2 linked regions of the Sus scrofa genome follow. The protein of the gene in region 2 interacts with the protein of the main gene of each other region in a pairwise test. Links are inferred from orthologs where the notes say so. Each region holds a gene or a part of one and is shown on either strand. Other genes may lie near its edges.

Region 1 (4,448 bases), on a different chromosome or scaffold from region 2:
CTACTAGATACAAGCTTCTCAAAGTCAGAGACATTTTTATTCATTTCTACATTTCCAAGATCTGGCAAAGTGCCTAGGACATAAAAGATATTCAGTAAACCTTGTTGAACTAATCTGACCTACTCTCAATGAACTACCATTTTAGTGAGAAATACAACCTGCCATCAAACAATTGAAATATAATGAGGTCAGTGCCATAGAAGACGTGTGTGCCCAGGGGGTCTGAGCAGGTACCACGCCTTGTCCTCTTTATGACGTCAAAAATTAAACTGTGAGGAAACAGATCCTAAGATCTGAGTGATATTTTGGTTTTCCACCCAGGAAAGAATAGAATCAGAAATAAAGGGATACAGAGAAAGTTGAACCTCATGCTACACTTATCATTAATGATTTGCAAAACTGTATACCCTGGCTAATCATGTTCTTATTCTCAAGCAAGATCTTAGCAGGTTGCTGTTGCCTTGGAAACAGAGATCTCTGGTAACTTCCACTTTTGGGAGATACTCAGTTTGTTTGCTTGTTTAGTCCATTGTCCCACTTCCTACTTGCACTGATGCTCTGCCTGGGAACTGGTGCTTAGCTCTCTTGCTATTGTTGTATAGACCATCTAGTGATCTGATGAGGGCCCTTGATCCTTGCAGAGAGCATATCTTCCTTTAGAATCCATGATTATGGAGAGTCTTGTCTTGTTTAACCCAGATACTTCATATATGAAACCTTAAAATGAGCATAGAGGCAAGGGAAGAAACAGCAGACTACCCAATTTTGTGAAGAAAACCTGGGGTCTTACTGCTGGGGTCTCTCCCTTTGGGATTAGGAGTAAATTACTAAGTGCCTACAAGACACCCTGCCATTTTGACTGTGCATATTACTTGCTCTCAGGGAGGAAAAGAGATATGCAGTGGGAGCCAGAGAGACCAAAACTGAGAACCATGGAATGGTTCTGTGAAGATGCAAGGAAGAGACATGGCAGCTGGAAGAAGGAATTACATTATCCTTTACAAACATTTATGCAGCTAGTGTTTCACTGTGAGCAACACACAAGTCCTGCCTTGGAGACGCTAACCACCAAACTAGGGAGAGAGCTTTGTACACCAATGCTGGTCAACAGGAGGCAGAACAGGATAAATGGCTTCTGAAGAGAAAGAAGAAGAGATTTTCTCCTCAAATATACCTGTCTCTGAAAGAAATGCCAGAAATAACGCTGGAGAAAACTAAAGGAGGACTGAAAAAATCATCTATGTCTTCCAGGGAACTGGGTTCCAACCACTATCTGCGGATTGGGTTGTTCTGCCCAGAACCACACAGTCACTAAGGGTTGCCCCCGTTAAAGAGAGGTCTCAGGACTTAACATCTTTCATGGGTTCCTTGGGATTCAGTGAATACAAATTTCAAAAGTAGATTTTAGTGACATTCAAAAAAGAAAGGAATAGGGGGCAGTGTGCCCTATTACCTACAAACTTGGGGCCCAAGAAAGTTACTCCAGTTTCTCTACCCATGAGAAAAACCAGTTCTCATCAAAAGTGACTCCAGGCCAGGGCTCAACAGGAGTAAATCCATTTGAGCCAAATATTGTGGAAATCCTGAGAACCCCACCCCCCTTCTCCTGGGAAGTCATGAAATGACGGAATAAACAGCATTTTGGACGGGCTGGTGCCCTTTTTTTTTTTTTTTTTTTTTTTTTTAAAGGCTGCACCTGTGGCGTACTGAAGTTCCCAGGCTAGGGTCAAATCCACAGCCACAGCCAAGACCATGCCAGATCCGAGTCACTTCTGCAACCTACACCACAGCTCACAGCATCCTCAGGGATCCTAGCCGGCTGGTTACCTATGAGCCACGAATGGAGCACTTACCTATATGCTCCTCCAAGAAGAGAGGCCACAGCGCCACCCTGTGGGCAAGATCTCTAATGTCTGCAGCTCTCCAGTGGAAGGCATCTTTTTTTAGACCTCTGCCTTGCCTGCTTTTTTGATATTTGTATCTTTAAATAATAAATAGGAAAAACTCATTCATTTGTCCCAAATAATGCAAAGATAATTTATGACTGGCTATGCCTATGGACCACCATTCCTGGCAGAGGGCTGATAGACAAAAGCAGCCAGAGCACAACTCCACCATCAACCCACCCCCACTTTGCTGAAACCATTACCTAACAACCATTACCTGCAGCTCCGCGGCGGACTGCTGGCAAAACCTCAGCAGTATTTCCTTTACTGAGTAACCTACCATTAGAATGACACCAGAATGCAGTGGGAAATATCTGAATGTTGATGGACAATGTATTTAAAGAGCGGAGGGGCAAAAGAAATTCTGTAGCAAGTTCCATCTCTTGGTGTCTTGCAGTTTCCATCTCACTAAGGACTCAAACTATGATGTAACTCTGAGGAATTGTGCCTCTTATTTTGGTAGATCTGCTGAACCACCTCTACTTAGTCACAGTGAAAAACACCACGTTTAAAGAAAATATGAAATGAAGTGACTCTTTTTGCCGCACCTGGCACAATGCTGGATCCTTAACCCATCGTGCCACAGCAGGAATTCCCAGACATAACTATCTTATTTTTATTTTTTGCTTTTTAGGGCCATATCTGAGGCATATGGAGGTTCCCAGGTTAGGGGTCCAACTGGAGCTACAGCTGCCAGCCTACGCCACAACCATAGCAACGTAGGATCCGAGCGCGGTCCACATGCACCAAGAGCTTAAGGCAACACCGGATCCTTAACCCACTGAGCGAGGCCAGAGATTGAACCCATATCTTCATGGATACTAGTTGGATTCGTTTCTGCTGAGCCATGGCAGGAACTCCCAGACATGGCTATTTTAAAGCAAACAATTTAAAAGAAGATCAAATACTCATTTTAAATGATTTTAATTTGATGAATATTATGTTCCAACTGAAAAAAGAATATTGCACAATGCTTTCATGTCACAATTGTTATTTTTCTCACCTGGTGGGATTTTGATCAACAACACTGACTTTGGAAATAACACAGAGAAAATCTTAATTTTTTTTTTTTTTGTCTTTTCTAGGCCACACCTGAGGCATATGGAGGTTCCCAGGCTAGAGGTCTAATGGGAGCTGTAGCCACCGGCCCACGCCACAGCCACACCAATGCCAGATCCAAGCAGCATCGCGACCTACACCACAGCTCACATCAACACCGGATCCTTAACCCACTGAGCAACACCTGGGATCGAACCTGCAACCTTATGGTTCCTAGTTGGATTCGTTAACCACTGAGTCATGATGGGAATCTGAGAATGTCCTGATTGATTAAATAATTTCAATACCCTGTGAAGAACTAAAAGTAGGATGTTACATTCATATAAAAGACAAGTACATATCCATAAATTCACTCAGCTGTGGTGAAAAATAATAAACTTCTCATGGATTTAATACAACTTAAAGAAGCCAAAATTGAGAATGCTGTGAAAGTAAAATGAAGCTCCCAAATTTTTCAGTGTGATCTCTTGCTTTTGAAAATACAGTAGACCTGCAAGACTTCTAAGAGTATCTGATCACATTGGAAGCCTCTTATAGGAAGCTAACTTTTTTTTTTTTTTTGCTTTTTCGGGCTGCATTTGTGGCATATGGAGGTTCCCAGGCTAGGGGTCCAATTGGAGCTACAGCTGCCGGCATACACCACAGCAACGCAGCATCCAAGCTGCATCTGTGATCTACACCACAGCTCATGGCAATGCTGGATCCTTAACCTACTGAGCAAGGCCAGGAATCAAACCTTCAACCTCTTGGTTCCTGGTCAGATTCATTTCCACTGCAACACAAAGGGAACTCCTAACATTTGATATTTTAAAAGCTAAGTCCAAATAAATACAAATCGAAACTGGTAAAGTAACAAAATCTGTGAATGATGAAGTCAAATTTCCTGAATAACATAAACAAATACAAAGAAAACAACACCAGAAAATAAATGAATCATGACATGGCACCTATAAACATTTCTGTCCAAATTCATGAATCTACAGAATTTTCCCCAAGTAACAAACACAGTTTTCATCATAAAATTATGGAATAAATGCTAAAAATTTAAGAACATAAAATTTTAGTAGTCACTGAGCAAAATTAATTCCACAAACACTCCCAATTTTTAGGGATTTATGATAATTTTTGTTGTTTTCCCTCTTTGCCTTCTGACTAGTATTTTTAGCAGAGGCATAGCACTGGGGCGTGAGCGAAAATAGGCTTCAAGTGCCAGATATGTGTTTTTTTTTAAACTTCACATCTTGCATTTTTATTATTTTTAGAATTGTTGCTCATTAGATTCATGAACACACCCTACTTTTGCTATGTTTTTTATTTATTTCCATGAAAATTCAACCACAGTTTAAAGAGAAAAGACAGAAACATATTAATTGCATTGTGTGATACGCCATTTACTCTTGCTTGTCACTGATTTTTAGAAGCCATGAATTATTTCAGTAGGAT
Region 2 (3,648 bases):
CAGGAATACCAGGGTCAAAGTGAATGTTGCAACACTGTAAATACATTAAGCCTGATTTATTTTGTTCCCTACCTTTTCCCAGCTTTGCTTCTCAAATATTACAGTAACAATGTATATGTATCTTTTATTGGCCACATCTATAATCCATTTTGGAATCAGCTGAGGAACAAATAAAGAAACATCTCTGGAGGCAGCTTGGATTACTGTTGCCCAGGGATAGAATGCTGTGTCTCCCTTGACTCAGCAACACTGAATTCACTTGTCTGCCAGAGTCTGGGGATGAAGAGACCTAATTAGCTCCCTTCCCTTTCTAAACACTCATCAATCCTTGTGAACCTCCTGGCTCTGATCCATAGCTGATAATACAGGAGGCACATGGCTGCCCAGGCAATTCTAAAGCTTGGCTGGAATCTACTATCCTGGGAGAATCATAGCCTCATAACTGTCTTCTCCTTGTTAGCTGTCAGGAAACGGCTGCACACTAATTCATGTTGCTCCAAAATTGGACACTGATATAGAGGGACTTTGGAACATTTTTCTGGCTTGGAGCAAGTTTATGAAAATCCATTTGGGGGAGGCTGAGGAAAGGGATGATAAAGAGGGCCACCTGAGGCTTCACAGAGTGAACTGAGCTTGATGCAGAATTTTGGTGGCATGGACAGAGCTCTGAACTGGGATTCACGATACCTCCATGTAGCATTTACTGTTAGTTAGCTGGACCCATCTCTTAAGCCAATTCCCTCTTTGGGTTCAGGTGGCTTCTCTCCAAAACTAAGAGTTAGGACCAGAGTATGTCTAGGATTCATTAATGGATGTCCTGGTGAAAAAAAAAAATTGTATGGGGAGTCTATATTTAAATGAGTTTGGGAAACTAGAAACTGGGATAAAGTTAAAGAGGTTCCCCTATGACAAGACTTATTAAAGCCTTTAATAAGCTAATAATGAGCTGTGTAACTCTCCAGGTTGAGAAGATGTAGCAGGTTTTAAGGAAGCTGCTTTGAGAGCATTTTGTGGGTTTTGCGTTCCAGGTGGGACTCTCCAGACAGAGTGACACTATATAACTCCAGCCCCTTATCAGCCCTCCTCTCCTGGACTCTGGGTCAGGTGGACTCACCATGGGCGGGGTCTTCCAGCAGGTCCATGATGACGCAGTCGGCGCCCTTGGTGTAAACGATGATCTCACCAGTCAGCGGGTGCCTCACCACCACAGACATCCTCTTCCTGACAGAGTCAAAGTCCAGTGTGCAGAGGACATCAAAGGTGAGGCAGGTGCCTTGGGGCAAGCGCACGGTCACCTGCTCAGGCGTGCGGGACACCAGCGTGAAGCTGTAAGCATGGGCAGCGTGCACCAGGGCAGCCTCATCCGGGCTCTCGGCCTCATAACAGAGCTCTGGGCTGGCCAGGCCGAGGGCTGGGGCCTGCAGCACCTCCTCCAGAGAGGCCCCTGTTCCCACCTCTAGAATGTCACCCTTCTCCCATGTGCTGCTCCTGTAGCCACCGTCGGTGGAATAGCCGCCGCTACCTACAGACTCATCATCTCTCTCTTCTGAGTCCATGGTGGGCATGTTGGCCCCAAAACTCTCCCCCAGGTCTGTGTCGGAGGGTGCAGTGGATGAGAATGACTGGCTGAGACTTGAAAGCTTCAGCCTGTGGAACAGCTGCTGGATCTTCTCCAGGGATGTCCCCAGAGCCTTAGTTGAGGGTGGCATAGTGACCTGGCGGTGAAAGAGGAAAAGAAAACATTCCTCTTCAGGTTGGGAAAATTATCAAGCTGCCTCATGGCAGAATAACAAGATCATTCTGCCAATCAGTGGTTCAGGTGATCCTTCCTTGATGATGGGCAAGTCCTCCCACCTCTTAACATGAAGGAGTGAGGCCATTGGTTTCCTCCCAGCCCTGAACTCTAGGGATTGGTGATGCTCATTTTCCTCTCTCTTATGACCATTCTACTGTGATCATTGGAAAAGCAAAGTAAAGGAGACAAAAGCCAGACTAAGTAGGAGACCCATGCCCTGAACCCTTTCCATTGCCTTGTCTGCTTTGTTTTTGCATATAGCATCTTACTTCATCCTCCCAGCAACTCTAGGGGATACTATCATTTTCCCAATTTCTGGATGAGGGGAAACTGATGCATAAAGAACTTAAATTGGTTGTGATCAGCCAGTGTGTAAGTAGCAGAGCTGAGACTCGGATCTGGGTCTGTCTCACTCCACAGACTGGGATCTCAAAATACCTGCCAGCTAAAGCCCCTCCATTAACTTCAAAGTTGAGAACTGGATGCTGTTCTTCCCCAAATGGTAATTCTTTCTCACTTGAAAATAGGGTGAATTTCTCAGATAACACTTCCTGCCTCCAAAAACTCCCTAAAGACTTCTGATAACTTGCCAAATTTTCAGGGTAGTTTAGAATCGGCGTGTAATAATGGGAGGTTCTGGTTTGGTACCTGGGTGAACCCTCTTTGTCTTTTTTATTTTATATATTTTATTAAAGTATAGTTGATTTACAATATTGTGCCAATTTTTGCTGTGCAGTGAAGTGACTCAGTCATACAGACACATACACACACACATTCTTTTTTTAGTATTTTTTTTCATCATGGTCTATCCCAGGAGGTTGATAAATATAGTTCCCTGTTCTATATGGTAGGACTCCATTGCTTATCTATTCTAAATGTAATAGTTTGCATCTACTAATCCAAATTCCTAGTCCATGCCATTCCTGTCCCTTCCCTCTTGGCAGCTACAAGTCTTGAACCCTCTTTTTCTTAATATTGTGGCCACAAGTTTTAACATCCATTTATTTTTATTACTCACTTATAACAGAGCTTGGATGAGAGTTTGCAAATAACTGAAGATAAATCTATCTCCAGTACTGAAAAATAATTCAGAGTATAACCTTCTATAAATGGCCATCCAGCTGTGTTAAGTCCAAACTGGCAGACCTTCACACTTGGTGTTAATTATTTTTTAAAACCCCCATTAGAAAGCAGATACCTGTATACCATGATATTATTAGAGAACTGTACAGATGTTTCTGCCATGTATTAACCATATATCATTCCTTAAGTTACTCAAGCTCTTTGAACCACTGTTTTGTCACTTATTAAATCCAAGGACATTATCTTATAGGGTTGTTGGGCTGTGAGGATTAAATGATAATGCAGGTGACATGTTTGGCATGGAGAGGAGGCACATAGCAAGTGCTTAGTAAATATTAACTTTTAACATCTACCCTGAAGACAGACACAAAATGTGAAAGCTACCCAGAGAGCTTGTATGTAATTTTTTTCCATTTTATTTAAAAAATGAGGACACTGAGGCCCAGAAAGGATAAGAGGTCTGTTTGAGTTCTCACAGTGGTTAAATGGCGACACTGGGCCTAGGACCAAAGTATCTTGTCCCCCCTGTGCAGGTCTTCCCCTTTTGCCTCTACCCCTCTACACATCCATCCCACCCCACCATCACTGTCCTTACCCTCTGCCGGGGCTCGGTGGTTGTGGAGACCATGACGGAATTGCAGATGGTTAAGGCAAGGAAGAAGTCAGCAATGGAGGAGGTGGTGGAGAGGGAAGGCTTGGAGGGTCTGGTGTCTGACAAGTCCTCCAGCCACAGAGCTGCATCTTGCACCTTGGTCAGGAGATGCTTATCT

What was found. The genes of interacting proteins can lie anywhere in the genome.
Region 1: the proteins of ATP10B (region 2) and TMEM30A interact in a protein complementation assay, tested with the Homo sapiens proteins (2 studies listed by IntAct, with this or other methods). The link is inferred for Sus scrofa from reciprocal best matches to the Homo sapiens genes ATP10B and TMEM30A.

Annotation. Positions count from the first base shown.
Region 1 is NC_010443.5:90,637,678-90,642,125, reverse strand, and holds the start of TMEM30A (cell cycle control protein 50A), read right to left. Parts: upstream 2,856-4,448; 5' UTR 1-2,855. UniProt on the Homo sapiens protein: Accessory component of a P4-ATPase flippase complex which catalyzes the hydrolysis of ATP coupled to the transport of aminophospholipids from the outer to the inner leaflet of various membranes and ensures the maintenance of asymmetric distribution of phospholipids.
Region 2 is NC_010458.4:62,854,633-62,858,280, reverse strand, and holds part of ATP10B (probable phospholipid-transporting ATPase VB), read right to left. Parts: coding exon 3,474-3,648; intron 1,716-3,473; coding exon 1,115-1,715; intron 1-1,114. UniProt on the Homo sapiens protein: Catalytic component of a P4-ATPase flippase complex, which catalyzes the hydrolysis of ATP coupled to the transport of glucosylceramide (GlcCer) from the outer to the inner leaflet of lysosome membranes.